Linked DNA regions of Struthio camelus. The protein of the gene in region 2 interacts with the protein of the main gene of each other region in a pairwise test. Links are inferred from orthologs where the notes say so. Each region holds a gene or a part of one and is shown on either strand. Other genes may lie near its edges.

What was found.
Region 1: the proteins of SPRED1 (region 2) and HPCAL4 interact in binary tests that used the Homo sapiens proteins (3 or more experiments, as listed by UniProt). The link is inferred for Struthio camelus from reciprocal best matches to the Homo sapiens genes SPRED1 and HPCAL4.
Region 3: the proteins of SPRED1 (region 2) and NCALD interact in binary tests that used the Homo sapiens proteins (3 or more experiments, as listed by UniProt). The link is inferred for Struthio camelus from reciprocal best matches to the Homo sapiens genes SPRED1 and NCALD.
Region 4: the proteins of SPRED1 (region 2) and IL16 interact in binary tests that used the Homo sapiens proteins (3 or more experiments, as listed by UniProt). The link is inferred for Struthio camelus from reciprocal best matches to the Homo sapiens genes SPRED1 and IL16.

The regions. Positions count from the first base shown.
Region 1 is NC_090964.1:8,065,682-8,072,862, forward strand, and holds the start of HPCAL4 (hippocalcin-like protein 4), read left to right. Parts: upstream 1-4,181; 5' UTR 4,182-4,286; intron 4,287-6,573; 5' UTR 6,574-6,581; coding exon 6,582-6,743; intron 6,744-6,947; coding exon 6,948-7,163; intron 7,164-7,181. UniProt on the Homo sapiens protein: May be involved in the calcium-dependent regulation of rhodopsin phosphorylation.
Region 2 is NC_090946.1:48,961,455-48,968,708, forward strand, and holds the start of SPRED1 (sprouty-related, EVH1 domain-containing protein 1), read right to left. Parts: upstream 3,021-7,254; 5' UTR 2,773-3,020; coding exon 2,741-2,772; intron 1-2,740. UniProt on the Homo sapiens protein: Tyrosine kinase substrate that inhibits growth-factor-mediated activation of MAP kinase. Negatively regulates hematopoiesis of bone marrow.
Region 3 is NC_090943.1:145,636,407-145,644,377, reverse strand, and holds the start of NCALD (neurocalcin-delta), read right to left. Parts: upstream 3,005-7,971; 5' UTR 2,859-3,004; intron 1-2,858. UniProt on the Homo sapiens protein: May be involved in the calcium-dependent regulation of rhodopsin phosphorylation. Binds three calcium ions.
Region 4 is NC_090953.1:10,891,377-10,898,207, forward strand, and holds the start of IL16 (pro-interleukin-16), read left to right. Parts: upstream 1-3,813; 5' UTR 3,814-3,817; coding exon 3,818-3,867; intron 3,868-6,227; exon of another isoform or gene 6,228-6,831. UniProt on the Homo sapiens protein: Interleukin-16 stimulates a migratory response in CD4+ lymphocytes, monocytes, and eosinophils. Primes CD4+ T-cells for IL-2 and IL-15 responsiveness. Also induces T-lymphocyte expression of interleukin 2 receptor. Ligand for CD4.

The DNA.
Region 1 (7,181 bases), on a different chromosome or scaffold from region 2:
TCTGGGGACATGTCTGGGCTGGGGTCCCCTCCCAGCTCTCGCTCCGGACTCAGCTCCCAGCTGCTTGGGGCCATTTCCCCCTGGGACAACAACCCACTGTGGGTCTTCCCAAGAGGAGCACGGGGGTGACTGGAGATGCTTCTCTACCTCTCTAGCTCTCTGCAGACCTGCTGTCTGTCCATCCCTGCAGCAACAAGCCACCAGGGTTGTGACACCTCAGGGTTCAAACAGAAGAGGACCAAGAGAAACCCCTGTGTCCAGAGCGCTGCCAGATCGGCTGCTCCCAGGTGTGTGAGTGTCCTGGTCATGGGTGGCTTTAGGTTGCAGCTGCCCTCCCTTGAGTGACCCTGCAACTGGCCAAGTAGGAAGCAAGCAAGCAAGAGCGAAAGCTGGGTTTCGATCTGAAATTCTGCAAGCTGCAGCTCAGCCCCAAACCCTGGGTCCCCTCCAGATACACGCTCCCCGAGACGTGCTGCCACGCGTCCCGTGCCCAGCGCAGATCCCCCAGCACGGCCAGGGCACATCGGGGCTGGGGCTGTCGCCGAGGGCCAGCCTGGCTCCAGCGCCCTCACCCATTCCCAGCTCGCCACCTCCTTTCCCAGCCGTGTCTCGAAGGACGGCTCTGGGTGCTTGGGTGGCGTAACGCGAAGGGGAGGGTTGTCTAGGGAGGCTGGGGGCGAGCAGCAGTGGTTCAATGTTTCCTGGTGCTCTGAGCATCTCAAAGAGCTATTTATAGCTGGCAATTAGTGCAAACGCCTTCCCCGGGGTGGGAGAGGAGAGACCAGGCTCGCTCTCCTTTGCCGGCTCTGCCAATGGCTTCCTGGCCGCGCGAAGGCGATGCAGCAAGGCGGCGGCGGGAGCGCCCGTGCGCGGCCCCGCAGCGAAGCAGTGCTCCCACAGGGAGTCTCGGGCGGCTCATATGGGGCATGTTCCTTAAACAGGGGGGCTTCCTGGCACTGGGGCCCCGGGCTGGGGCCCACGCCTTTGGGGAGCTCCTGGCCGAGCTGGGGGAGCCGCGCTGCCGGGTCCCCGGCCCCCCTGCCTGGGCACAGCCCCCCGAGACATGCTGGTGCAGCCTGTAGCCGCTGGGGGAAGCTGCAGCCCTTTGCATTAAGCAGCGTCACCGGAGAAGCTGTTTTTTAGGAACCCAGCAAGGCCCTGGCAGCTCTGCACCCCGGGAGCACGGAGCAGGAGCAATGCCGCAGCGGGAGCGGGCAGCAAAGCGGCTCCGTGCTCCAGCGATGATTGCAAAGGTGATGCCCCCCGGGGACAGCCTGGCCCAGGGCACACCGGAGCCTGGCATCTGCCCTTGCCCCAGGGTGCCCCCGTCGCATGCTCGGCCTGGCGCTCCCCTGCCTCTTCCAGCTGCCCTTGGGCTCCTTGGACGCACCTGGTTCCATGAGCTGAGCTGTGACGGTCTCAGCCCCTGCTGGCTGCATGGCAGCCGGGGTGACCGAGCGAGGTCCAGGGCCTGCAGGTGCTGCTCTCAAACTCCTCCCTGGAGCTTGTGCCGGCCCCGCTGAGCGCATTGGGTTTCGGCAGGCTTTGCGATGCCCTGCCTTAAATCTACTGCTACTGGGTCATGTCTGCTGACACGGAGGGGGAATTTGGTCTTTATAAGAGTGTTAACTGCCTCCCTGGGAAGGCAGAGGTTAAGCCGCCCACCCCAGCTCTGGGCTGCCACGGAGCTGCAGGGCCTTGGTGAGCGGCCGAGGGCACGCGGTGCTCAGCATCACAGCCCCAAGCCTGCTCCTCCAGCACGGGACCATCCCCGGCTTTGCTGTGCCGCCCTGTTGAAAGACGTAAGGAAACGTGCCAGCATCGTGCTTGCAAATCCCTGTCCCTGCAGGGCCGTTCGTCGGCTCCCACTGGCTGCTGCTTCATGGAGCACCGGGGGCAAAGGCCATGCAGTTTTGCCTTAAAACACTCACTCACTTTATTAATTCATTGCTCCCTGAGATAGAGAAGCACCTTCCTGACAGTAACTCTGTGGCCGTGGCAAAGGCCAGGCCCCCGCTGGATGCAGTCCCCAGCACAGCACCAGCGAGCAGAGGGCACTGTCTCTGGCCAGGATTTTGCTGCCAGGGTGGTGTTTGCTGCTCCTGCCAGCAGTGCTGGCGTCGGAGTTGGCTTTCCCATCCTGCCAAACTGGGAAACCCTGTGCCGAAGGCTCCCACGGCTGCAGCTGCCGCCTGGAAGCAGCTGGGAAGCGTCGCCGCGTTTTGCTTCGGTAACATCACGTCGTTCGATGCTGCAACCAGGGGACCCATCTGGGGACACCGCAGCAGCTCAGGGAAGGCAGCAAAGTTGCGGCTGCATCACCTCCGCCCGCAAGTGCACGGGGCCTGGCTGCGGGGCTGGGGGCTGCTGCCCAGCACCCCCCCATCCAGCCTGGGCCACGCTGGCCCAGGGAAAGCCCCCGGCGGCAGCTACAGCACGGCAGCACCTGGCGCCAGGGCAGCGTGGGGCCCTGCTCCTCGCCAGGCTCTGCTGCTGCTCTGCTTCAATTAAGCCCTCATTAATTTTTCAGTCCCTCGGAGCATCCTGAGAGAGGCAAGTTTGCAGTGGCACTAATTGATGTCTTCTCTACTTAAGCACGGAATAAATGGCAGAGGATTGCCCAGCACGGAGCGGGAGGTCTCTTCCCTCTGAGCCCTCAGAGAGGCTCATGGACAGGCTTTGAGGCCAGGCGTCCAGTGCTGGGGAGACCCCAAATCACCCCCGGGGTGAGGGGCTGCCCTGTGGAGCCCTGGGCAGGGGTTTGGATGACCTGGGAGGCTGTGTCTGGCAGAGGGGGGGGTCCCAGCTCCCTGTCTTGGGGCTGGCGGTGGTGGGTTCCTGCAGCTGCACTGTGTGTAAAAGGCTGCAAACATTTGTGTCTTTTTATAAACCATCCCACTCTGCTTTGGCCGGGGCAGTTTCTGCAGATTCCTGCAGCTAGCAGGGAGGCACATACCAATAAAATGTCCTTTCTTCCTCCGGCAGGCGGAGGGGAGGCGATGGGCAGCTGGCTGGGCTGAGGAGCAGCTCCTTGCAGCAGCCGGCAGCCCCCAAAAAGCCCCTGCCCTGGGGTTTGCCAGAGGGCAGGAGGGTTTGTGAGGCCCCCGGACCGCAGCGGCCCCGTGCCGCCGGGCAGCGCCTGCCCCAGCCCCGGCTGCATGGGACCTTCCTTCCCGGCCTGCCGGCAGCAGCTGCCATGTGGCTGGTGGCAAACGGCTCGGCGGCGCTGGGAATCCGCAGCGCGGCGGGATGGCCAAGGTCACCGGGAAAAGCAGCCGCGGTCGCCATGGAAACGCATAGCATTTGCTTCTGGAAATCAGGGTGGTTTTCTTCTCCCTTGGCCCCCTGCATCTCAGCTGCGATTCCTCCTTGCAGGAAGCAGCAAGCCCCATCCCTTAGCCCCAAGGTGGGGGCAGCCCCCGGGGCCTTTTGCTCAGATATTTGGCATGAGGAGGCTGTGCAGCCCCCCCAGCTCCTGCAGCCTAGGACCACATCAGGGGAAGGGAGTTTGGGGTGATCTGGGATCATCTGGGGCCTCGCTGCCGGGGCCTGGAGCCAGAGCTGGGCAGAGCGAGGGGAGCGCCGAGGAGAAGGAGGAGGCACTACGAAGCAGCTCAGCCCTGCAGCCAGGGAGATGCACGGAGCCAAGTGCTGGGCAGGGGAAGGAGCTGGGGAACAGAGCGGGAGAGTTTGCCAGGGCTGGCGGGAGGGTAGTCTACGCTGGACAGTCAGCGCAGCGAAATCCCTGAACCCGTCGTGTTCCTGCTCCCAGCATCCCACCCCAGCATCCCTCTCCCATTATCTCAGTCCCAGCATCCCTGTCCCACTGTCTCAGTCCCAGCATCCCCACTCCAGTATCCCCATCCCACTATCCCAGTCCCAGCATCCCCCACCCCAGCATCCCCATCCCACTATCCCAATCCCAGCATCCCAGTCCCAGCATTCCCACCCCATCATTCCCACCGCAGTATCCCCGTCCCAGCATCCCCGTCCCAGTATCCCACCCCAGTATTCTCCACCGAGCCCCGCTCCCACGGGCCCCCCCGAGCCCCCCGGCTGATTGACAGCGCTCCCAGCCAATGGTGTGCCGTGGCCGGGAGGGGCGGGCCGCCCGCGGTGACAAGAGGGGCGGGAGCGGGGCGGGGGGGGGGCGCAGAGCAGGGCGGGGGGGACGGGAGCGGCCCCTCCCGGCACCGGCACCGGCACCGGCACCGGCACCGGCACCGGCACCGCTTCCCGGCCCGGGCCCCGCCGAGCCGCCTCCGCCCGCCCGCGCCCTCTTCCAGGTAAGCGGCCGTCGGGGCCGGGAGCCGTCGCCGTCCTGCCCGGGAGCGGGGCGGCCGTCGGGGCTGGAGCCGGTCCCTTCGGGAGCCTGTCCCCACGGGAGTGGGGCTGCCGTCAGGGATGAGGTCGGTGCCCCCGGGAGGAAGCTCCCGTCGGGGTTGGGAGCCGGTGCCCCCGGGAGCCGGTCCTCGCAGGAGCGGTGCTCCCGTCGGGGCGTCCTTGGGGAGCAGGGCAGCCGTCGGGGCTGAGACGGGTCCTGTCTTGGCCCCCCACCCTCCCCGGTGTGGGGTGCCGTGGGGCAGGTGCCTCCGGGAGCCGGTTCCAGTGGGCTCAGCCCGGTGCCCTGGGCTGTCCCCGTGCACGTCCCCCGGCGTGGGCAGAGCTGGCCCTGCAGCCCCAGGGGCTGCTTCCCCCCTGGTCCGGGCTCGGCTGAACCCGGCCCCATCCTTCCCGTAAGACCGGGGTCCCACACTCCTTCCCATCTCCTCCCGTATAGTGCTGGCTCACGGGGATGCTGGAGGTGCCTCTCTGGGTCTTTTGTCTGCCAAGGGACGATAGCTGGGTGGGGGGCAACCATAGCCACCCCTCTCTGTGCCCCCTGCCTCAGGGCCCTGCTGTGGCACAGCTGCTACTTCAGCTGTCACCCCAAGACTTGCCCCTCATCACCTCTGAGGGCAGGATCCGGCCCTCTGCCCTGCAGCTTGGCAGCTCTGTGCTCTGGGTCCTGCTTGGAAATAGGAATCGAGGTCTTTGGACCAAAGCAGCTTCTCGTGCCCTGGCCTCACAGGGTGGGAGCCCTTTAGGTGGGGTGCTTGTGGCAAAGGTCCCTGTTGCTGTTCCCTTCTGGGGAAAGCTGCCTCTCGCTAGCCGTTGTGCAGGGCAACGTGGTCGTGGTCCAGCGGGGCCGGAGGGAGATGCAGGAGGAAGAGGAAGACATGAGCATGGTACCTGGTGGGGAGGGATTACTGTCCCCGCTGTCCACAAAATCCCACCCTTTGGAAGATGAGTAAAACACCTCTCCCCCCTTGCACTGTTCAGGACATGGAAGGATTAATGGGTGCCTGCAGATCACTCGCCGAGCAGGGCTGCGGTGCCGGTAGGGCTTAACTCCACAAGCGTGCCCTGGGATCGGCGGGGAGGCTTTTGCCACTCTTCTCTGTGGTGTCTCCGAGTTCCCGGGGCTCTGATTGCCAAAAGGCAGTTGGTTAAGTCTCGCCGCAGCAGACTGGTGACAGATGCTGGTGGGATGGTGGAGCAGGAAGCAGCCTCTGCTGGAGGGATTAGCTAAGAGTGGGGCTGAACGTGAGCTCGGGGAGCAGCCCTGGGGCGCTGGGGAGGGAGGCTTGTGCCCAGCCCCGGTGCCCCCGATGCAGAGAAGAGAAGGACCCCAAGGGGCTGTGCGGGGGGAAAATCTGCAAGTCCCTGTGGCCGGGAAGCCGGACATGTGGAGCGGAGTTGTGGCTTGGTTGGTCTCCAGGTGAACTTCTACTCAACTTCATTGAGAGAGAAACTGCAGGATCCTCTTGGCTCACCATCTGTCGCTGCGCCGGAGCAGCGGCCGGCAGCCAAGGCTGTGTGGGAGCAGGCACGGAGCGTATTCGGAGCAGATTCGCGCTCTGCCTACGCAGCGGCTGCCTCGCAGGGCCCTGGCGCGCCGCGCTGCGGGGAGGCTTGCGCAGAGGGGCTGCGTGGTGGCAGAGACCCGTTCTTGCCCGGGGCTGGCTGATGCCCTCAAACGCCTCCGTTCGGCTTGGGCCGTGTCGCTGCGGCTGCCTGGGTGCTGCAGGTCAGATGGTGCTGGTGAGGTTTCTACCTCCTTTAATGCAAGCAGCGGGGACCCGTGCTCCTGGGCACCCTCGCAGCCCTCGCCAGGCAAGCAAAGACTCAGGGGTGCTTGTCACTGTTTCTTTGTCCTGCCTCATGGAGGGCAGCTGAACATCATGAGCTGGTAAAGCCTGTGATGAGTTTTCCTGGGTCCTCAGTCTCTTTCTGAGCATTTCTGCTGCAGCACAGAGGAGGCAGCCAAGGTGACAGGAGAACTGAGGGTCATACTGCTGGCCACAGTGGTGGGCCCCTGCCCTGCTCCAGCAGGAAGGGTCATGGCACCAAGCCTGGCCTTGGTGCTGCAGTCACTGTCCCAGCATTCACCAACGGTAGCCATGTAACGAGCCGGCTGGATTGGCTCATTGCAGCAGATGAGGCACACGGGATTGGCAGGTGTCACGCTGCCTGAGGAGCACCAGCTTTCCCTGTTCCCAGCATGAAGGAGCTGTGCGTTTCCTCTTCCAGAGTCAGCGATGGGGAAACAAAACAGTAAGCTGGCGCCGGAGATGCTGGACGACCTGGTGAGGAGCACAGAGTTCAGCGAGCAGGAGCTGAAGCAGTGGTACAAAGGCTTCCTGAAGGACTGTCCCACTGGCATCCTCAACCTGGAGGAGTTCCAGCAGCTCTACATCAAGGTGGGCCTCGCCATGGGACGGGGCCTGTGGTCCCAATGCAGTTCCCAGGGATGGCAGCCAGTCCCTAGCCCTGTGGTTATGGCATTGCTGAGCTCCTGGGCCAGCGGGCTGCTTCAGGGCACTGCTGCCCTGAGGATGTGATGTCTATCCTCCACGATGAGCTCCCCTCCCCGTTTAGATCTCTCTCTTCTCTCCTCCCTGCAGTTTTTCCCCTACGGAGACGCTTCTAAGTTCGCCCAGCATGCTTTCCGCACCTTCGACAAGAACGGTGACGGGACCATTGACTTCCGGGAGTTCATCTGTGCCCTGTCTGTCACCTCCAGGGGGACCTTTGAGCAGAAACTCAACTGGGCCTTCGAAATGTACGACCTGGATGGAGATGGGAAGATCACGCGGTTGGAGATGCTGGAGATCATCGAGGTACTGGTGATGTGGGGC
Region 2 (7,254 bases):
TCAAAACAGCAAAGGAAACTGAGAAGATAAATATTTTCTTATATTTCAGTTAGAACTACTTTTAATAGTCTAACAACTGAAGGAAAAGAAAAAAGAAAAAATCGTATAGGAAAAAGTACTGATGTTGATAGTGCTTTGCAAGGTTAAATACATTTAGTTGCATATAAAGCATAGAATTATCTCACATTAAATATTGTGGTGTGAACTTTCCTTTGTCATTTTAAGTAAAGGTTAGAAATCTTTCAGGTATTCTCTTTGCTTACATTAATGACAAAACTGCCATTCCAAAAAGCACAGGATTAAGGATCACATTAGTATAATTTGTTAAGATAATGAAATAGTGTGTTTGTGAGCAGTGAACATCACCATTTTAACACTGGCAACTGCAAATTAGTTAGATCAAACAATAATACGGTCTGCTTTAGTGATCTTTCATCACTAAGTTTCATTCAATGTTTTTTGAACAATGATTTCAAAATTTTTAAAACTAGAACTAATGCATTGACCTTTAAATAGCTTATGCCATCTTAAAATATTTTTCTCTTATTCTGTTGTAAAGATTTCTTCAGCCACAGTGCAGGTTAAACAGAAAAATGTTGATACCTAATCTGCCATAAAATTCTCAAAGAAAACAGACAAAAAAAAATGACTGCATTCCTGATTTCCATCCACTTAGCAGTCTTACAGATTACCTGTATTTTATAAGACATAATGTTTTCAGAAGTATTCTTAGGTATGACTGACTTGGTAATATGGAAAACAGATTTTGTGGTTATTACTTCTGTGCCAGGCTGATAGCACGCACATGCTGATTAGCATTGTTCAATACAATGTCTATTCCCATAAAGTGATTAGCCCACTGTCTTGAAGTCATGTTCATACTACTTTGTTTTTCATTATTTTGAGTCACTATTTCTGGAAGTGAAAATTTTCTAACGTTTGCTGAATAAAACATTTCTGTGCTTAAATGTTAGAATGTAGCAGGAAAAGGTATTTCTGACCTAATGCTCCTTTATATTAAAAAGGAACACAAACCATAAAAATAACTTCCCCCTAATTTTACAGTAACTTCTCCGTGCACACACTTATGAGCTGCTTATCTACTGCATGCTAAGACAAACCTCCTGGTCTGTCTGTCTCTCCCTTCTTATGCAGGTCTAATCTGCAACTCTGCTCAATGCAGACACTGTACTGCACTGTGAATGGACAGCCAGGTATTTTATGAATGGAGCCGATCACGTGCTCCCAGCACCTCCCCGAGCTGATATTTCCCACATAACTGTGTCAACAAGCAGTGAACAGCATATTTTAATACAGCAGGTCCTCAAAAATCTTCATCCACAATCTGCTTGCTACGGTCCACTCTCACATACAAGAAACGAGCTTTACACACTTTGCAGGGCAGGTTTTATTGCAGGTCAGCGGTGATGACAGTAATTTTTTTTTTGGTTTTTATGAATGGAGATTGTGGTATGCAAATTAGAACGATTCACAAAAAAGAAAATATGGCGGCGGCTTCAGCTTCCAGCTCCACTGACACTGCAGCAATTCACCTTCCCACACAGCCCTCGGTGCACGCAGCCCCGCAGACCGCGGCGGAGCCTTCCGAGCGCCCTTTTACTCCAGAAGGATTTACCAGCATTTGCCTTCGATGATCAAAACCTCTTCGCTAGGAAGCTTTTATTAAGGTGTGAATGTTTTATTTTGAGAAATGCGTTAAAATGAAAAATCCGTTTTTTCCAACCAAGTAAAGGAGGCTTTTCTTCTCTTATCCTATCTATCTGCCCTTTATCAAGCTAGTGTTTATTAAAAAAATGAAAGACAAAGGACGCAATGGTCCTTTACCGTTACCAAGAGCTGTCTCGGCATTATGATCTGTCACATCATTCATAAAATAAGCTACAGCAAATACCTACATCGCAAATCGTTATGCCCAAGCTCAGAGACTGTAGTAATCAGCCTTAAACGCCTCCATGCACTTAAACTTTCTGAGAATAAAAAAGTTTCAAAATACTTTATATTTCTGTTTCTCAATGCCATAAAGAATTCCGATGTTTTCTGAAAAATATTCATCTCCTCCCACCCGAAATTTATTTTTAAGACAAACTAAACGCACAGAGATACACCCGCACGCATACACTTTCTCCTCTGGATTTCCTCCAAACCAGTCACATTAAAAGATATTAAAAGATCCTTGAACTGTCCCCTTCCTCTTTTAAAAAAAGAAGTCCCAAGTGCTCATTAAAAAAAAAAAAAAAAGGCTTTAGGGTAGGTTTAAGCTGTATTTACACTGACTGACTCATCCAATTAAAATTCAGGAGCAGTTTCCTGCAGGATGGAGCTCCCACACACTAGTTTCCATGTGAAATATCTACAAGCAAAGGATATTACCAGAGGTGGTATGTGCCGATATCTCTTCGGCTCTCCGAAATCCACCCCTCCCCCCTCCCCCTCCATTCAAGACACCAGCACTACCTGCGCCGTTTTGTACAACGTTTTAATTCAACCACGCTGCCCTGGACGGCGGCTCTCGGCCCCAATAAAACAAGCTCCCTCACAAAGAGAGCGCTCCTGGGCTTCCACACAGGCAAGCGCCAACGCGCAGCACACACAGATGCGTGCACACACGCGTGTCCCCCGGGTGCACACACGCAGGCACACTGCGGACGGCGGGGCCGCACGGACAGCACACACGCGAGACCGCGGCAGCGCGCGGAGGCCGCGGAGCACCGCTGCTTACTCGTTGTTAGAAGCCGCCGTCTCTTCGCTCATTTTTTCCTCACCGTGATGCGATGCGGGGACGGAGCAGCACCGACGCAGCCAGGGCGCAGCGAGAACTCACCAGAAACTTCACCATCGTTGAGCCCCCGGATCGGCCTCCCCGAGCGAGCACACGAGCAACGTCCTGCCGCGAGGGAAGGCAAGGGAAGGAAGCGGGGGAGCGAGCGAGCGAGCGTTATCCCAGAGGCACCAAATCCGGTTGTCCAGCGCCGGAGCGCTCTTCCCCGCCCGCCGGGAGCAGCGGCGGCGGCGGCGGCGGCCGGGGCGCAGCAGGCGGGCGCCTAGCGGGGAGCGGCGCGGCGGGGCCGGGGGAAGGCGCCCGGCCGTTGGGCGCTGCGCCGCCCGCGCCGCCCGCCGCCGCTCATCTCCCGCGGCCGCCGCCGCCCTGCGGCGCGCTCGGCCCCCGCGGCGGGCGGGCAGCGGGGGCAGCACGCAGTCCTCCGGGCAGGGCGCGGGGGCAGCGCGGGTCGCTCCTGCCCGCCGCCCTCCAGCGACGCCGGGCGCTGCAGCGGCAGAAGGCGCCGGTCCCACGGAGAAGGCTGGCGGCGGGGGGAGGGAGGCGTTTTAAACCAGGCTGGGGGCGGGGGGGGGGGGCTGAGGGGAGCGGGGATGCGTCACGGCTGTTTGTGTGAGGAGGGAAAAGGGGGGTGGGGGGAGGCAGGGAAGCGGCCGGGCCACGGGAGAAGCCCCCCCGGCGGCGGAGTTGGGGGAGGAGGGGGGAAGCGAGAGAAAGCCTGCGGGGAAGTTCAGCGGCAGCGCTCCCTCCCCGGCAACAACTCCTCTCGCGGCGGCGGCGGCGGCGGCAGTCTCGGCGCGGCCCCTCTCCGCCGCCTCCGCCTCCTCCTCCGCCTCCTCACAGGAAAACTGGGCGGAAGCGTTGACTTCAAGCTCCTTCCGCCGCCACAGCTTGAGCCAAAATAACCACGGGCGCGAGCGGAGCGGGGGGGAAGGAAGAGAGCGAGGAAGAAGGCGCTGCCCCGGGCGCGGCGCCGGCCGCCGAGCAGCCCCGCAGCCGCCTCCCCTCGCCGCCGGCCGCTGCGCTGCGCCCGAGTTTCCTGAAAGTAGTCCCGCCCCCCGGCCGCGGCTCACGCGCGCCCGAGGAGCCGCCGCCGCCGCCGCACACGCACGCACGCACGGCGGCGGCGCGGAGGGATACGCGCGGTCGGGCGCGGCGGCCGCCCTCCCTTCGTGCTCCGCCGCTGCGCGGCAAAGAGTTCGGCGGCGGCCGCTGCGGGGCGAGGGGCGGCGGCGGGAGGTCCGCGCCAGGCGCTGTGCAGCGCGGGGGGGCCGGGCCGGGCCGGACCCGCCTGCGGCTTTATGGGCGGTGAGCTGCGCTTCCGCGCGGCGCTGCGTGGGCGGCCCGCGCCGCGGGGCGTTTTGGGGGACAGGATCGCTGTCCCCCACCCGCCGCGGCCCCACGGCGGCAGAAACGCGGCGGCCGCAGAGGTCCAGGGGTGCCTCCGCGGGAAGCCCTAGGCTGGGCTGTCACTTTTTTCCACTTTTTTTTTCTTTTTTTGACCGAAGTGGATGTAACTCTTTAAGTACGTAGCAGCAGTAGCGCCAGAGCCTCTGCTGTTCACTGCTGGGAAGCGCCGGGGGGTTCATGAAACGGATCCCGGTGCCGTGTTTTCCGTAGCAAGTGTTCCTACCCAATTCTCTCAGATTTTCGTTAATATCACCACTTACCAGAAGCGCCCTGACCCAAGAAATACGGTCAGGTTGCTGCGGATCTTCCCTACTTTTGAATCAGGTCATTTAATGCTGCCGTGGAGGTGGCATCTCCGAGGATGTGCTGCTCGGTTCACCTGCTCGCTTGGGAAGAGAAGCTCGTTTGTGGCCCGTTGGCCAACGGTGTAACTCTGGAAGCCGTTTCGGTGGGCGATGGCGCAGGAGGATGGGTGAAACGCCGCCTCGGCTTCCCCGCCTGCAGCCGGCGCGCAGCGCGCTGCCACCGCCGTGGCTGCAGCTGGCCCAGGTGGGCAGGGAAATCAGTGAGCAGCCGCAGCGCGGCCCTCGTTCCCCTTTTCAGGAGTTTACACGGTAACATGCTACTTGATCCGATGGCAAAGTGGAGCAGTATTGCCAGCCCTGAGGACTCAAAAATCATGAGTCAGACCATGAAGTAAATTAGATTATAATACAGGATTATATTGTGGTTTTGTCCGTTGCTTGGATTTTGAGTTCCCCCTGCCTGGTCTTTGTATGTGTGCCTGTCAGCTGATACAGCCCATTGTCCCAACTTTATCGAGTAAAATATTGTGGTGCTACTGGAAGAGATATCACTTTCTCCCTAACGCACTTTCCTTCTTCCCAGCCTCCAATGTACCTCCTCACTTTTTCCTAGCTACTGTGCGAGAGCCCTCTCTGTCAGCTCTAATCCCATTTCCTTTTTTTTCTGCAGCTGCTGGATTTCTTCCCAACTCTTAAGGTATCATGGAGAAGGAGCAGAGATGGGCTGTTTTGTCTTCCTGTTTGAAAAGATGGGGCCAGCTCCCTTGGAGATAATAATGTGTGATTCCCACACTAATGTTGATTGGCTGCTTTTCCCAAGGAAGGGAGAGACTGGAGCATGCTGTCAATCAGGAGGAGTTTTGACCATTTTGAGAGTAGCTGGAGTGCCTCATGTCACCCTAGGCCAGACTGTGAAATTGCAGCATCTGTCTGAATGCACTGAATCAGGGCAGTATTGCGTTTATCAAGGGTATTTGTTTACAGAAATCTTCCTTTTTACACAAAGTTGAAAGTACAGTTTGTCTTTGGGACTTAACAGTGATGTCCAGAATTTTTTCCTGAAGACTTTTTCCTTTTCTTGATGATTGAAAACAGTAAGAAAATGTTGTAGTGAGGAAAGCTTGTACAGTGTCTTTTTTTTTTTTGTGAGTTAAACCATTTTAAACATAATCTATTTTTGTCTTATATAGCATGCAAGGAAGGGCATATTCTATTTATAGACAGTTTATGTTTATTGTAATATTCCTATGGATAGCAATTCCACATGTCTATAAAAGGATTCTAACGAGCACACTGGAACAATCATAGTAAACTGCTATTGCGCTTTCTCTAACATGTCTCAAGTAGCACACATCTCAAACATGCAATAATAATACTTGTTTCCTTATCTGGGAGGCTTTTGGAGGAATAATTAGTAATTGTTTTGTAAGAACATTTTTCTAAAATGGTACTCAAAAATGGATCTGTTATTCATTGCATGTTTTCATCTAAATGCTAAAAATACATTAGAAACCCAGTTTTGTACAATACTTTTACAATTCAACTGACATGAATCAAAATGAGTATCTGAATCACAGGATCCACAAAAAGTGTTTTGAAACTTAAGTTGTAGGGACATAATATTATTCTACTGAGCAATTAGTTTTTTTTAGGGTACTTTCTTGTTAATCTAATCCTTATTTTCTACTGGCTTCAAAGTGGAAATATTTAACTTTCTGTAAGCTAATAATTTATTAAGATCATTTGATTAATACGATCCAGTGCAAGAATGCTCAGGAGCTAGCTCAGTGTGTCAGATGGTGGTACTGCTCTATGCAGAAGCAACTCAAGCGTGCCTGAAGGTGCCAGGGAAGAGCATTAATCTGATTGGGTTTTTTTGATTCCTTAAATGTATTTATTGTAAAAATGTCTTTTTACATGTGAATAACATGAACCGTTTTGTAGTATACCACAAGTAGGGAAGGCTTCAAATAATCTCACTCTTCTAACCCTAAGGTTTTCAAGAACATCTGTATTAAGAATAAAAATAAATAAATATCAGCTACTAAGTGATAATGTGAGATGCATCCTATATAGCTTTTACTTGACTACATGGAGGAGATAAGGGGAGAAAGACCCACTGCTTCTTCACCTGTGCCAGCTCTTCAGCTTCTGCACACAGTCGCATGCTGCAATATACGTAGCAGAGGTCTTGCAAGTAGTTTCTGTTCCTTTATCTGAATGTCATGAAGAGGGCAGAAAATCTGCCTTAGTCGGTGTCATGATTTTGAAATCCTGATAATTTCTTTTTTACCTCTGCCTAGGCTGAAAAAATTAAAGAGCGTAATCCTGGAATACCAGAGTTGGCTTTAGCCAAGCAGCAGGTGATTTGAGGGCCTTCCAATGTTCTTTTTGGAAGAAAAATAAGCAGTCAGGTGTTTTTAATGTAAATGGCTTATTTTCAAAGTAAACATGAGTCCTGCCTGTGCCAACAAGGCAGAAATGGACTAGGAACAAGTGACACCCTTCAGAAAGCACAGTCAAATGATCACTTCATGTCCCAAGCATCAAATGCTTCGGGGTCTTGTCTTTCTTCACAAGTTACACAAACTCAACTAGATTTAAGTACATTCTTAGGGCTTTTTTACTTTCTGTCATTGTGGACTTTACAGTTGAAATGTCCTGAGCTGAGTGCTGGATGACCTGTATATGATCTGGGAAAAATAACTGAAAACGTGAAAGCTTCTGGTACTTTTCACCAGA
Region 3 (7,971 bases), on a different chromosome or scaffold from region 2:
CCCAGCTGCTCCTCAGCTTGGAGGGCGCTAAGCTTGTTCTTCAAGAGTAAGTCTTGAGGAGGAGCAAGAGCCTTTCTCCTTCTACGAGAGGTCACCAGCTTCCAGCCCTCTTCAACAGCGTTATGATGCACCTTTACACACAGTGCTGAGCCCTCTGACAACTCCGCTGCAGTGGGGGCAGGGGACTCCTGGAGCTGAACAGTCTCCGAGAACGCCCTGTCAATCTCCTGCTCATCCTCTCGGATGCTACGCAGCCTACCAACCTCCTCCCGTAACTCCCTTATCTGGTGATGCAACTGGTCAGCCACAGCACACCTCACACAGCAGAGCTGACTGTCAGCCCAGGCCCCATGGAGGGGCCCCAGGCACTCCCTGCAGCCTGACACCTGCAAGGCTGCATCTGCTGTCTGAGGGTCTGTCTGGGTTGAAGCCTCAGACACAGCCGATGCAGCACCTCCAGCAGCCACTGGGGAATGTGCTCTGCGGCGTGTCATGACCATGCCCCGGGGAAGGACACACCACTGTGCAAAACGGAGAGGTGCCACCTTTGCCTTCTGGCACCCTTCTGCACAAACTGCTGCATCTGTCCACTGCCTCTGTTGGCTGCACTCTGGGAGCTGTGCTCTAGGCCTGGCTCTTATATAGGCCTCTGCCTAGCAGTGACTCACAAGGGTGCTCGACCCACCCAATCAGGAGCCACCTGAAACAAAACCTTCCTCTGACCAGGGCAGCCCAGAGAGCTCGTTAGCAGCAGCCCCACCTGGCTAGAGCTTCCCAGGAGAAGTTAAGTCAAGGTCCCCTGCAGGAGTCCTTGCCCAGCTCTCCCTTCCTGCTAGCAGCAAGCACCGTCTAGTTCCTTGGGGGTCCCCAGAAAGTCTCCACAACTTCCAACAAGGCCCACAAAAGGCCCAGGCAGAGCCCAGACACTGCTGCGCAAACTGCTGCCTCTGTTCGCTGCCTCTGTTGGCTGCGCAATGTTTATGCTATCCACCATCAGGCTGAGTCCCTCAGAGTCAGGGTGATGGTGCCATTGGGAAAGCAAGCGCAGGACACGAACGACTGCCCAAGTCTGTGTGTGATGAGCATTTTTTGTCACACAATTGCCAGCGTCAAGTCAACAGGCTGAACTGCCTGCCTGCTGCTCCCACTGCCAGATGCTCCCACGCATCTTTGGCTTTCAGACTCATCCTACTCATAGGCATTTCCCCGCTGCTCAGGAGCACCTGGCCTTTCCCTGGGCCTTGCCTGCTTGTGAGCTTGGGACTCAGAAGAGCCAGGGATGTTGTAGAGCCCCAGGAGATGTTCTCAGAGTATTTTGTCGGAGAGCCCCAGCTCAGGCAGGGCGACACAGATCTGCCTGGTGTTTTGTACGTTGCAGCTCAGCCGTGCTGCAGACTGCCATTACTCAGCCAGCCGCAGCACCTTTCCTGGAGAAAGGCACAAGACTTCTGTGTTGGGATGTCCCCGCAGGCAGGTGCACCCACTCTAGACCCTCCACGCCTCTCACCAAGACACACTTTGCTCTGGCATGGAGCGGGACCTCAGTTAACTCCGTACTCATGTCCTGAGTCAACCGAAGCCCATAACACCTTTCCATCAATCCCATCAATCATCCAAAATGCTACCAAAGAAAGTGAATTAATGAAGAACTAGAAGTTTCGCTTCTTTGATGGTACTTGTCTTCCAGGAGACAGCAGACATAACCTCAGTCTTCATTGAATTAATTGTTCAAAACTGACTATAGGAGTAGTCAAACGGTCCAAACTCTGAAAATCCCCCAGGCACAGGCCAGCACAGGTTACCACCATGAGCACATAACAGGTGCTGTGCAGGCTGTTTAGTAGCAAACCCAAAGAGCCCCCTATGAAATGCAGAGATTAAACAACTTCCTGCATTTTAAGGTCACTGGTTAACACATCTTTCATTTCCTTGTAAAATAACTTGAATTTGATCTATTTTGAAATGCATCTTTGTTCAACACTGCACTGCAGGGAAGGGGTTGGCAGAACAAAATTTGGAGCTGTGCTAAGAAACTTTCTTGGGCAGCCAAAGTTTTCATGCAGCTCTGAATTTTAGCCTGCGGTGCCAGAGGCTTTCATCAAATGATTAAAAACTATTTGCACACTAAGACTTGTTCTTAACACTCTTCCTGGCTCTGCCAACTGCCGAGAAAAAAAAAAAATCACATCAACTATTCTGCTGTTTGCCCAGAGTCTGCAGTCTGATTTTGGAAGCTTCCTCTCTAAAACGAACAATTTATGGAGACTCTGAGATAGGACCTTGTTGGTTATAACTGGCAGAGGAAAAGCCCCTGAAACTGCTCCAGCCACATCAGTGTGCAGGCTGCTCCAGCCCAGGCTGGGACTAGCACACGTGTGGCTTGCCAGCATCTGCCCGCGGTTGCTGCACTGCAGATCTTGTATCTGACACCGTTTCCTGTGTGCTTCAAGGCAAGGCTTCCTGGAAGGCAGCTTATCAGGAGCTGAGTCCAAGCAAGGCAGGACGTCAGCATGAGCCACAGCTGAACGGTCACTGTATCACTAAACCAACAGTCACACAGAGCAGACTGAAAAGCAGCCGCCCAGACCTCCTGGCTACATCCCAGCCGCTTCCTTCTCTGTGTGGCCATGGAGCAGGAGGTGTTGCATGGCATTTAGGAAGGGCTTTTAGGAAGAGGTTTTGACCAGGTCACGTAACAACCCATCTAGGAATTAGCGCTGTGCACAGCAAAGACTTTTTTTGACATTCATTGGGCACCAGAGGGACAGGAGCAAGAGCTGGTCCCCAGTTGTGAAACCCCAGAAGCATTGAAAATACCTTCTTTCCATTAATCTGCTAATCTCAGTATTGGTGATTACCTCCTCACGCCTCTGCAGCGCTCGTGAAAGGATCCCATGCTGTCTGTTGCAATACCAAGCACCCTGCATCGCCGGCGCACAGGGTGCAAGGGCGGCCATCTGCCGTGGCAGGACTGTGGTCGCTTCCTCTGCCTCCATGATGAGCTGCTCCGCGCAGCGCCCTGCAGCTGCTTTCCTCTCTCACTAAGAGCCTGAGGCAGCCACTTACAGAAGTTGCACTGCACCCTTCAGAAAGCTGGAGCTGCCTGTGCAGCGTCCACCTCCATGGCATGGGCCGTCCTCAGCGCTATCGAACACAGTACTGCCATTAGAGCAGCTAGCCAGGGCCATTTGCAGAGTAACATTAACCGAACTATAGGGTACAGCAAAAAAAAGAGCCTGACAATAAAGATTTGTGCATGTGAATTCACCAGCAGCTCTTCTAGAGCCAATGTCATGATGAATGGTACATGCAAAGAAACAGCAGATCCTTTGGGGGATACAACCCCGGGTGAGCTGCTGAAGCAGATTTGAGAGGAGTAAGGATCTGCAGTGAATGAGCCCCCGGACAGCCAAGCTTCACAAGCAGCAGTGGAATTTGCTCCTGCTTTCCCTTCCGCACTGCTGCTTGTCATATGGATCCTGAGCCTGTCACTCACAGATCCTCTTTTAGTCCATTAGAAAGGTCAAAACTGCAACAGGGAATTCCTGACTCTGTCTCTGCAGCAGCTGTGCAAACATGTCCTGCAAACTGAGCTGGCCATGGACTTTTCTTTAGTTTTTGATAGCCCCTCTACAGCTGCAGGACCCAACAGAGCTGCCTCTCCACGCGCACGTGAGAAAGCTGAACTGGGACTTGCTTTCTCTCCACCACCCAAAGCCTGAAGCTGCTGCTCTCGGAAACAGCTACACGCACTCTATACAGGACAAACGGAGCCATTCCCAGGATTTGCCTGTGTTGAAAAATCTTACCTTAGGATTTTGGTTAGCAGCACAATCTGCTGCCAGAGCCCTGACCCCCGCCCCGGCGCAGGCAACCTAGGCTCCTGGGCTGGGACAAGGTGCGGGGGCTCAGAGCAGCTTGCGGGGGCTCCCGGCAGACCAGAAACAGGGCTTCTTCCAGCGATATTGAGCTGATCATGTCACCCTTCCATTGCAGGGAGAGGGTTTGATAAAAGCTGGCATTTGTAGTCTTCTCTCCTCAAGTCTTCTTTTATAAGTGTGTACCGGACTTCTATGATTGTATATATTTATATTTTTTTCTTATATATGCATAAATACATGCATGTGTCTACCTCTGCATGGCTTAGTGCAGATATCAGCCCTCCCAGTCACACAGACATCCTCCCGGCAAACGCATGCTGAGCTACTTCTAATACTAACATATGACTGTTGGGTGACTGTGTCTCTCCCAGAAGCTCTGGAGAACCTGCTGGCTGCGACATGAGGATTTGATGACTCGAGGGCTCCACCAGGAGGAAAACCAGCCCCGTTCAGCCGCTCAGCACAGAGAAGCTCTGCTGACAGCAGTGGGATGCTGGGGAGGGCCAGGAAGGCGGTTTAATAACAGTCAGAGGCGAGGAAGAAAAACGCAGCGGGATTAGATTTGTGCACTGTCAGCTGCCAGGGTATAGCTGCAGTTTGAGGTGTGCTGCCACACACCGGACATCCTAACTGCCTATAACAAATCTTACCGTTCCAGCAATATAAACTAGGAGCTGTCAAGAATAGTTTATCAAAAGCTTGCTAATTGCCCTGTCTTCACCTACTTTCTTCTTTTTCCCAGCAAGAACCAGGACCAGCTGATGCCCCTCTGAGCGCCACGGTCCTTGCATGCGGCAGGCAGCTGAGCAGAGGACAGGGCTGGGCGCAGAGCCCTCAGGTTTTATTTAGTGCTTGTGGCTGGTGCTCATCAGCATCACCTTTGCTAAGGCCCAAATTTCTCTGCTTGAATGAAAACAGTGGGAGCTACAAAGGCAGTTTTGGATTTCGGGAGGCGGGATCCTCTTGGCTCGAGAAGGCCCCACCAGGGCCGCGACAGCCGAGGAGCAGACACTCAGGTAGGGGGCCGGGCCCCCCCAACGCTGCGCATGGATGCACCCAGGGTGCCCAGCCCCACAGCTGGCACCCTCGGGGAGGGAAACAGATGCAGGGAGGTTGTGCAAGTGCTGGGGGAAGACAGCGGTCCAGGCAGGCCCCACAGAACTGAGCCAGTTTGGGCAAGCAGCAGCACCTCACCGGGGATTGGAGGGTGCTGCGCAACTCTGCTGCTGGCGCTCGTGGCGCGAGGGATGGCTCAGGTGCCACAAACGGTATTTAACCTGTCCCTCCGTCACAGGATGGAGTCTGCAGCTTCCCTCAGGCACCTCTCACATCCAACAAGGGGCCGCACTTGCATTTCCTCTGGTATCTCCTATGGGTTAGTGAGGTCCCTGCACGGGAGCGGCTGTTATTACATGTTTTTTTATGCTACTTGCCAGGCTCACCCTGCCAGCTCCCATAGGCATCTTCAGCCTGTGTCCCGGCAGCCCACAGTATGCCCCGGCAGGCAGGAGCTGCCCCTGCGCTTCGCTGGACCCAGCCTCTGCCATTGGTCAGGAGAGGCTTGTGGGGGACTGCAGGCATGAGGTGGCCCTCATACATACCAATTTATGGCTCCTGGCGTCCTAGAAAAGATCACAGCTTCAGCCACCTCTTTGCCACAGAGAACAAGGTCATTTTAACCCCAAACAACAGGCAACAAGCTTTCCAGGCTGCTACCTGGAGCAAGGGGTATGTACCAGCATGCCCAGGAGAGGTGGAGGGGTAGCTCCTCTCCCATCCCAGCTATCCAACAGCACCCAGCGACATTACAGCTCTGGAGTGTTTCTTCTTTGAATCTAAAGGGGCTCCCAAGAATTTCTCCTTGACCCAGAAAAAATAAATTTTTTTTTTCAGTTCCCTAGACTGCAAACCCCATTCCCCAGAAGAAGAAAGGTCAAGTGGAGAGCACACAAGTGCAAGACAGTGTATGGAGCACAGGGAACTTTCTCCCACAAGCCAAAAGCTGTAAACACCAGGTTACTCTGACATGGCCTAATTTTATTTTAGATTTCACAATAAAGCACAGAACTAACAAACAAAGGTATATTCCTCTCCATGTTCAAGTTTTATTGAAACTATATAAATATTTTACACATATATGGGGGAATGGGGTTGTAACCACACTTTGGTATCTCATATACATTTAGAGAACCTGAGGACATTCAAATATGAAACTTTTACATATTTTGTATACTCTCATCTTAAGTCACAACACCAAAAAAAAATGGTTTTTATTACTTTTAGTGACTATAAACAGGTTCCATTTCTCCAGTAGACCTGTCTTTCCCCCACATCAACACAATATTTGCAAAAGGCGCTAGGTTGTCTCTCTGGAGCCTGCAGGTCTTCTGCAATTGCAGGACATTACTGAGTGACACCAGTTCCAGCTTTTTCTTGTACTCTTCAGGCCCCCCCCTGCCCTCCACATACTTTATAGCAAATGAGGCATGCTATTCTCTAGGAAAAAGAGCTGTCCTGTTTTTATGCTCATTAAGAAATTATGATCTTTTGCTGAGACCAAAGAAAAAGCAAGAGCTAGTTTTGCTGCTTATTTTTACCCCAGGGATAATTGTTCACTAGGAACCATGCTCACGCGACAGATCTATCTGAAGGAACTCAGATAGCCTGGGCCGTGGCTCATCTGGGCTGGCAGGGAAATAAATTTGTATCATTCCATCACTGATAATCCTAAACTGTCAGCTCATCTTAGGCCAGGCATATTGAAAGCGGCACAAGACATTTGGAACAACAAGACAGACGCTTATAAAAGCTCTTACATGAAGTGCTGGATATTATGAAAAAATGCTTGGATTTAATAAAACAGAACCCATCATCTAGTTCATATACACTTTCTTCACCTTTGAGGAAAAAAAAAAGTGAGCCTATCTAATTGCAAATAATTCACCTACAAATGAATACTATCTTTTTCATCCCAAGTATCGCTATAGCGTATTAGCCGTTTTTCAGCTGCTCTATTCTCTGTGCCTGTTATCAGGAAATTAAAAAGTTTTCAGGCACTGGAACACACCAAAAACCATACAGCAGTCATTTGCAAAATGTTGATAACCCATACTACTTTGAGATTTGTTTTTAAAAGGGTTTAATACCTTATGCTAAAAAAGCTCTCTCACGACATTTCAATGGGTCACATTAAACATGCAATTCTGAAAGTACCTCAATACGTTATGGGGTTTCCTTACAGCTCAGGTCACATGTTTGTAGTACCTCAAGAGATAATACCCGGGAATGATATGCCTTCTCACACCATCAATGCTCAGGTGAAACTGAGAAGGGGAGAATATCAAATCACCCAGTACAATGGTGAGAGCAAAGCCAATACCCAGAGCCAGCTGTTCCAGTTTCCGATGCTGGCTGCAACTCAGCCCAGCCACAGGCTTCTTAGTAAGGCACTTGTTAAGAGAAGCAGGGAAAAGCAGGCTGCACAAGCCAAACTATAGGATGTGTTTTTACTCCATTATTTACAGGCTTGCCTTTCCAAGGACCATTCAAGGTACACTGACCTATTTAATAACAGCTGTAAATCAAATATATATGATTTTTGTCTTAAAACTTCTACCAGTAGGCATCATGTTGGCAATCAGAGTGAAAACTGCTTCAGACAAAACCCAGGTTAATGGGGATATCAAACTGTATCCTTAGGCTTAATAAGACTGTACAGCTCATAGCCTATTGACATCTTTCCAAATTCACTTATTACTCTTTCTGCAGCAGGAAAAAAGGAAAGAGTATTTACTCTAGATCAAATCTATAAACATGAAAATACAAACCATGAAAATAATTTATAGCAACATATATACATAGAGTGATACCTCATCTGGTTTTCAGATCAAAATACCATAATATGAGGCAAACACATAGCTTGCTTTCTTAAAACACTAATGTAGTCTTTAAAAAAGTAGTAGTATCCGGGTCATTGTTTGAAGTCGGCAATCACAGCAGATATATCAAGGGAATCTTAAAAAGGCCATCCTTTTAAAAAGTCATATAAATTTTTAAAAAATGACCTTTTTTCTTTTTTTTGAAATGACAC
Region 4 (6,831 bases), on a different chromosome or scaffold from region 2:
AAAGGAATTAGAACGAGATTTACCTCATCTGACATAATGCAATACTTACGTGTTATGGGCAGTTTGCAGCTTCTGCTAAAAACAGCGCTATCCAATCATAATGTAAAAAGCCTCAACAACTTTGGAACACATACAAAACCTCAGAGTGCCAGCCTACTCTAACCAAGAAGGTGCTAGGAGGAAACTCTTCCCGAAAGCGAGTTCTCTCTTAATTGCTTTTTAGCAAGGCAATTCCTTTGAAGCAATAGCTATAGGCCATTGCTAGAGAAGGATACTGAATTAAGGATATTGTTTATACTGTGACTCAGTGTGCCAGTTCCTATGTTGCTATGTTTTGATGGATGGAAGGGCAGAGTGAAAGCTGTAAAACCCAAGACACAGATGACTAATTCAGTCCTGGCTTAGCAGCAGCGAGGGGATGGTTGTCCTGTGCAATGTAACTTGTTGTCTGGAATATGGTAACGTGTGAAAATTGTCACTGTGTTTAAGGCACAACTACTTCATTGGTTTGCTGAGCCATGTAAGGACAGGACAAAATTGAGACTATCTCAAACTCTCTCTCTTATTAACACATGGAGTATTTGAAGTTGGGTGGAGATCAAAACTGGAGCTAAGTTCCATCATTACTTAGATTTGCTTTGCACAGTACTAATGTTGTGTTTAAGTTTATATGCTCCTTTTTCGGGAAAGGTTATCACTAGCAGCAACAGGCAAAACATTTAGTACAGAACAGCCTGTATATCTAAAATCTAAACTTTGGATTTGGAAAATAATTTGGGGGAAAAGAGGGATCCGTTCCTGCATCTGCTATGGTACCAGACTCATCCTGCTTTCAGTCATGCAAAAAAATTAGTCATAAAAAAATGAGTCCAAGGACTACTTTAAGTCCGTTTCCCATCTCCAATATAGACTAACTCCACTTGTCAGAAAAGGGTCTCCATTAAGGGGAAACTATGACCTATCCCAGGCCAGATGTACCACCCTACCTGTAAATGGTAAAGTTTGACTTTTATTCTGAAGCAAGTTGCTGCCCCTTAAACATGTTACTCCCTTTAACTGTGGCTACTATTTTCATCTACTCACTCCTTGGGGTGAAATCTGTGTCCCACTGAAATCAAAGGCAAAATAGCTAACTTCAAAGGGCTCATGATTTCTGCTCTCTTCTTGCTCCATGCATTAATTATGCTACAGATTGTATTTCCTTTTATTTGTTTGGACTCTTTTTTTTCTGCTACATTCTTCTTTTCCTGTTGCTTTCACAAAAAGACAGTAAGGGAATACAGCTGATTTTCCTTATATTGCCTATTATTTCATAAATCTCTGTCAAGGCAACTCCTTTCTGTAAAGGAGAGTCCACATCACTTCAATCTTTTCATACAAAATTCCAGCCTCTGATCAATGTTCACTGCCTTTTTTCTGGTATGATATCTTTGAGCTAAGTAATGAAGACTGACCACAAGATCCAATATCAAAGCATACCATTACTACAACATGGCAGGCACAGCAGAGGTTCTCTTTCTTTCTCCTTTTTCCTTATGGCTTCTAAAAATGCGCTTTTCTGTTCACCACTGGGCACTGACAATTACTGTACAGAGATGAAAAAAGCTGCAAAAGGTTAGAGTGAAACATCATGAAAAACAGTCCCTCCTTGTGATATTTATGTTTCTGCTGCTGGCCTTGGCAGAAGTCCAGATTCTGCATGAACAAAACTCCCAAAGGCTTAAGGACTACAGAATTTAGCCCATAGTCAGGAAGCACAATAACATGTGACAATGGGAAGAAATAAAAAATAGCTTTCCAATGCTTTTGAGCTTCCAACTCGATCAGTTTGGATCAAAACCCAGGGGCTGTTAAGATTCTGTGTGAATGAGTTCTCTATTGCTAAACAAAAGCATGTGTGTGTTACCGTGTAAGACAGTTAAGTGGTAAACAATATGTGGCTTCGTTTTCTCATTGATATTTCATTTTACAGAACCAGCACTATAAAATCCCAATTTATATAGCAGGCCGCTGTCTTCTCTATTCAAATACAGTGATGAACCGCTTCAGAAAACACAAAATCAACTCCCTAATTCTCCTTCTTTCCAGGAAAGCTACCTGATACCCAGTGTTCACTACTCAGCGCCAAAGCATGGTTCTTCTACAAAAATGAGAAGTTAAAATCGTAGGGTAATGCTCCATGTTTACTATCATCCAGTAACTCAGGTTAAAACTGTCCCCTTTACATTAGATGTCCGTTGGTTAACTGATACCATGAAAACTTCTTAGTTGGGAAAGCAATACTGAATTCTCATCTTTTTTTAAACACTTAAAATATAAATTAGCCACAATTATATTATCAAGGACAGAAGGTGTCACTGCTACTGTAGATGACGTGCAGAGCAGAGCAGAGAGAGTTTTGCTTTTTGTCCCATCAGTTTTGCTTTTTGTCCCACTTGTAATTCTCACGTGGCAGTCGCCTGTCTTCACAGCCTACATTTTTAGATATCTAGAGGTTACAGGAGACCAATAAACATGAGTCCGTGTCAGCAAAATATTTCAAACCCATTTTATACTTTCTCTCTTTTGTGAATTTAGTGACAGACCAGTAAAACTGGGATCTTAGAGCCACAGAACACAGAGAGGGTAGCAGGTGTCTAAGCACTCTCTTGTTGACCATTTCCATGACCAGATGGGGCCAGGTGTAAAATTCAGGTTTCTATTTACATTTTCCAGAAATGTATAGGTTTTATAGGTTGTGGGAAAATTCCAAAGAGGCCTCTCTATTTCAATAAAACTAACATTAACTGTTTCAGAGACAATTCTTTTTGTTTTGGGATTTCTTTTTTTTTTTTAATTTACAAACTCCCTATGTATCTCGTGCCTACCTTACACTTAAAGCAGTCACAAAAATTCACTGAGAGAAAGTAGGTTTCTGAAGCAAGATTGTGTCTTGTCAGTGTGTGAGCAGAGCTGGGGGTTGACAGGCAGGAAAAGAGCAGCCTCTGTGTATTAGATGAAAACCAGCTGAGCATGCCTAGGGATGTGGTAGAAAGGCAGCTGACTGTTCCCACCAGCAATGGTCAATGCAGCTCACCGGTGCTGGCTGAGAGAAGTTGCCACAATAGTAGATCGGACTGTGAACCTTTTACTTTGCAGAAAAAGAAAGCTATAACAGAAGGAACTGGGAATCCAAGGCATAGTTCTCATTCCCTGGGATGCTCCACAGAAAGCGTAACAATTTACTGGGCCTTTGATCACGTTGGATCACAAGTTACAATCTAGCCCATAAGGAGACGAGTGTGCAAGAATTAGTAGGTTGAAGAGACCATGTCATTTCAAGGTGAACAATACAAGGGCTTGGCATTCAAAAGTGGCTCCTATTGTTTTTTGCTCCCGGAGCAGAAGTAGCCTATGAAATTCTTACTAGCTTAATGCTTAAAATATCTGCTGAAAATTATGAGAAACATGCTGGCCGTCTCGTCTCGGCCTCCAGCAGGAAATCCTGCACTTGATTAGCATCGATTTTCCTCCCTCTCACAGTAAGCCTAACATGCCTGAACCCCATCAATCCTAGGACCAGAGTGTGATGGGTAGAAACAAATGACACAGACTCCTTAAATGGTCTTTTCTTCCTTGGGTAGCGGGAAGCTTGCTGGAAACAGTTCCCCCAATACTGCATCCCATTGCTTTTGTTTATCTATCCTTGCTGACATTTTCTTCAATTAGGAAACAATAGCTCCGTTCCAATGTGCTGAGCAGAATTACTGAAACTGAGTCACGTGATATCATGAGGGTGTGTTTTCAATTATTCACTCTGTCTTTTTTTGCCAGGCCTATGAAGAGGAACAGCCTTCTGCAGAAGTCAGGTTTGCCTGCCTCGCTGTTGTAAGTTCCTCCTTTTGAATTTTTATTCTGCAATAAGTATAGGGTTTTTTTTTTTCAATAGTAAATCCAACTCTCCTAAAGTGCCTTTCTCTTTGTTAGAAAACTTCCAGATCTCTAGTTCTTCCTATTGCCTGGAAATCCTAGACATCTGCAATAGTTCAGTGTAATAGTATTGCTCAGGACTGAATCTGACAAAGATCACAAGATCTAGATTAAAAGGGGATGCAAGATATCATGCTGTTAGCACTTAGTAATATAAAACTCATCTTGTTCTTGCTAGCAAAGCACAGATCTAACTCTCCCACTGAGTGTTTAACAGCAGAGCACTACCATTCAATCTGGGAGCTACACCAAATTATTTATATCTTGTAAATGCTCGGTTTAATATACAACCAAAAATCTGAACCAAATGGGCACAGCTCAAATTATGTATTTTGTTTGCAGAGGACAGATTGAGTTAGGGCTTTTTAAACTTAAAGCTGGAAAAATAAAGCTTGAGGAAAAAAAAAAGAAAAAGAGAAGGAACATTTGGTTTGCATTACAAACCACAGACAACTTCCATCAGGCGCAGTGGAGGTATAGGAATGGCAAGAGAAAATGACAAGCAGCGAGTGCACTGAAAAGAAAGATGAATGGCTTGGAGAATTGACTTTGAAGTAATTGTCCATGCCCACAATACCTTGAATTAAATTTAGTGGAAGATGGCAATGAATCATAGGGCTTCTCTGGCACTGGCAATGCTATTTTCTGTGTAAAATAACATTTCTGGATATTTATATTGGGAAACTTACAGACTGTGTTTTTGGTGCCTCCTATATTTCTGTCACTTATGCAACCCCAAATCAGAAGCTCTGTAAAGGATGCAGCCTTAGTCAAGGCTTGGGCTGTGATCTGATACTTAGAGCAAGCATTTAAATGGAAGTCACCAGGTCTACAGGGTTTATTTTCAGCTCAGTCACTGGCTTGCTTTGAGATACTAGGTAAGTCATTCAGGGTTAAATTTGGTCTTTGAGAGGTGATTAAGCTCTAGGGGAGGGAGGGAAGGGGAAAGGAGCTGACACAGCAGGGCAGAAAAGATTTTCTCTCTGCATAAGACAGAATTCCTCAGGAGACATTGCATGGAGGGTGGGATGGCAGGGTGCACTTAGAATTGTGTTTCCTTTACTGTTTCAACAGGTGCTTCTGCATGTTCCCTGCATCCCAGATGCTTAACGCTAGTTGGAGAGGCAACTTTCAGAGCATTTAGTGCTGATAGCAATGCTCCCTCTTAAGCTCTGCAGCTTCAGGTAGAATGAGAAAGGGGTCCTGCATCTGTCTGACCTTCATTCTAGCACATCAACCTCCAGAGGGCCATATTTCAATTATTAAACTATCTAGTCTTCTGCTTACCCACGTACTTAATGGTTCTGTTTCATTCTTTTAGGGGAGATAAGAGTGCATTTAATTTTTGTACAACATCAAAATCCTTGAATGAAAAGTTTCTTCTAATTTTCTCCCACAGGCAAGGTTGCTTAGGTCTGAATGCACAGCTCGGGCTAATTTCTGACACTGTTTTTGCTGGTATCTAACAGGGATTGACAGAATCACAGAAGAAGCAACAATCCCCATTGTAGACTTTAAAGCGATGCACATTGCACAGACCTGTAGCAAGTTAGCCCTGCTGCTTCCTGTTGAGATGCTGGGGAGAGGTACTCGTTAAGTTACTCCAATGTGTCAGCAAGGCATGAAGTTCTCCTTGTCCATCATACCGCCTTTTCAAGAGTATTCTGTTCTAATGGGACAGATTTCATTTTTCCCTTCCTCTAAAATATCTTCAGACATACATGAAAAGCAACATCAAGCTTTAGAAGATTAACTTCTTAACACACTGAGACTCTAACAGGGATTTCCCAATTCAAAAACTGCAATTAGGTGGGTGCATAATAAAGTATTCTAAAGTTCTGGGCTAACCAAAAAGCTAAAAATGGTCCTTTTTCACAAAATACAAACCAAAAAATCCCAAACCTTGAAAGTCCTTACATATTTGTAGGGATAAGTGTGAGACAGCTTTTAACTAATGCAAAGTAATCAACAGAAAAGCATATGAAAGATTGCAAACTTGTGAGGCTGAATTTCATCAGCAACAATTCCTTATTTCAGCTCTCAAAGTTATTATTCTGATGAAATTCATAGCACTTTTCATCTCTGTACTTCAAAATAATTTACAGAGTAGAGGTTCTGAAAAGTAACTTCTCTCAATTGTGCAGAAAGGGAGATTAATGCTAGAGAAATACGACACAAAGTCAAAGACAAAGTCCACGTGTTAAAGCTGAGCTCCATGTCATCCCTTTCCCCATCCCCTCTGGCCACTGAATCCTTACACAAAGGCTGAGATGTCCTTTCATTCAGCGTGCACTCTGTCACATGAATGGAGCGTGGCTGTGCTGTTGGGCAGTCCTCCATCCACACTGCGGCTGCGTTCGTCCATGGCTGCAAATCCTGTTGCTATTCATAAGAAAAGAGGCTACTCTGAAAAAAAGAAAACGAAACATGGGACGAAGAACATGCTGTGTACTGAAGAGAATGAGGGAGAATACGCTAGTTCAATTTGACCCTTTCCTTGTGCAAGTGTTGGGGAGGCTGGGAACCCAGTGAGTTTGGTTCCAGTGTTCCCACTCAGCAGGGCCAGACTCTCCCATAGCGACAGGGACGAGACGCTCCCAGTGGACACACAGGAGAGGGGCAGAACACCCACCAGCTCTGTTGAACTTGACATGTTCTCCCAAAACCTTCAACTTTGCCGTGGAATAGCGTTCTCCTGGGAAACCCAAAGAATTCCAGTGCGCAGGGCATAAGTTTCGGGAAGCACTAGAGATTTTGTTCGGGAAGAGAGACATTAGGGAGAAGAGCAATATTAGGATTGGTATGACAGAATATAAGTTATCCCTAAACTTTTGTAAGAGTATCACCTACCAAAAATGCCAG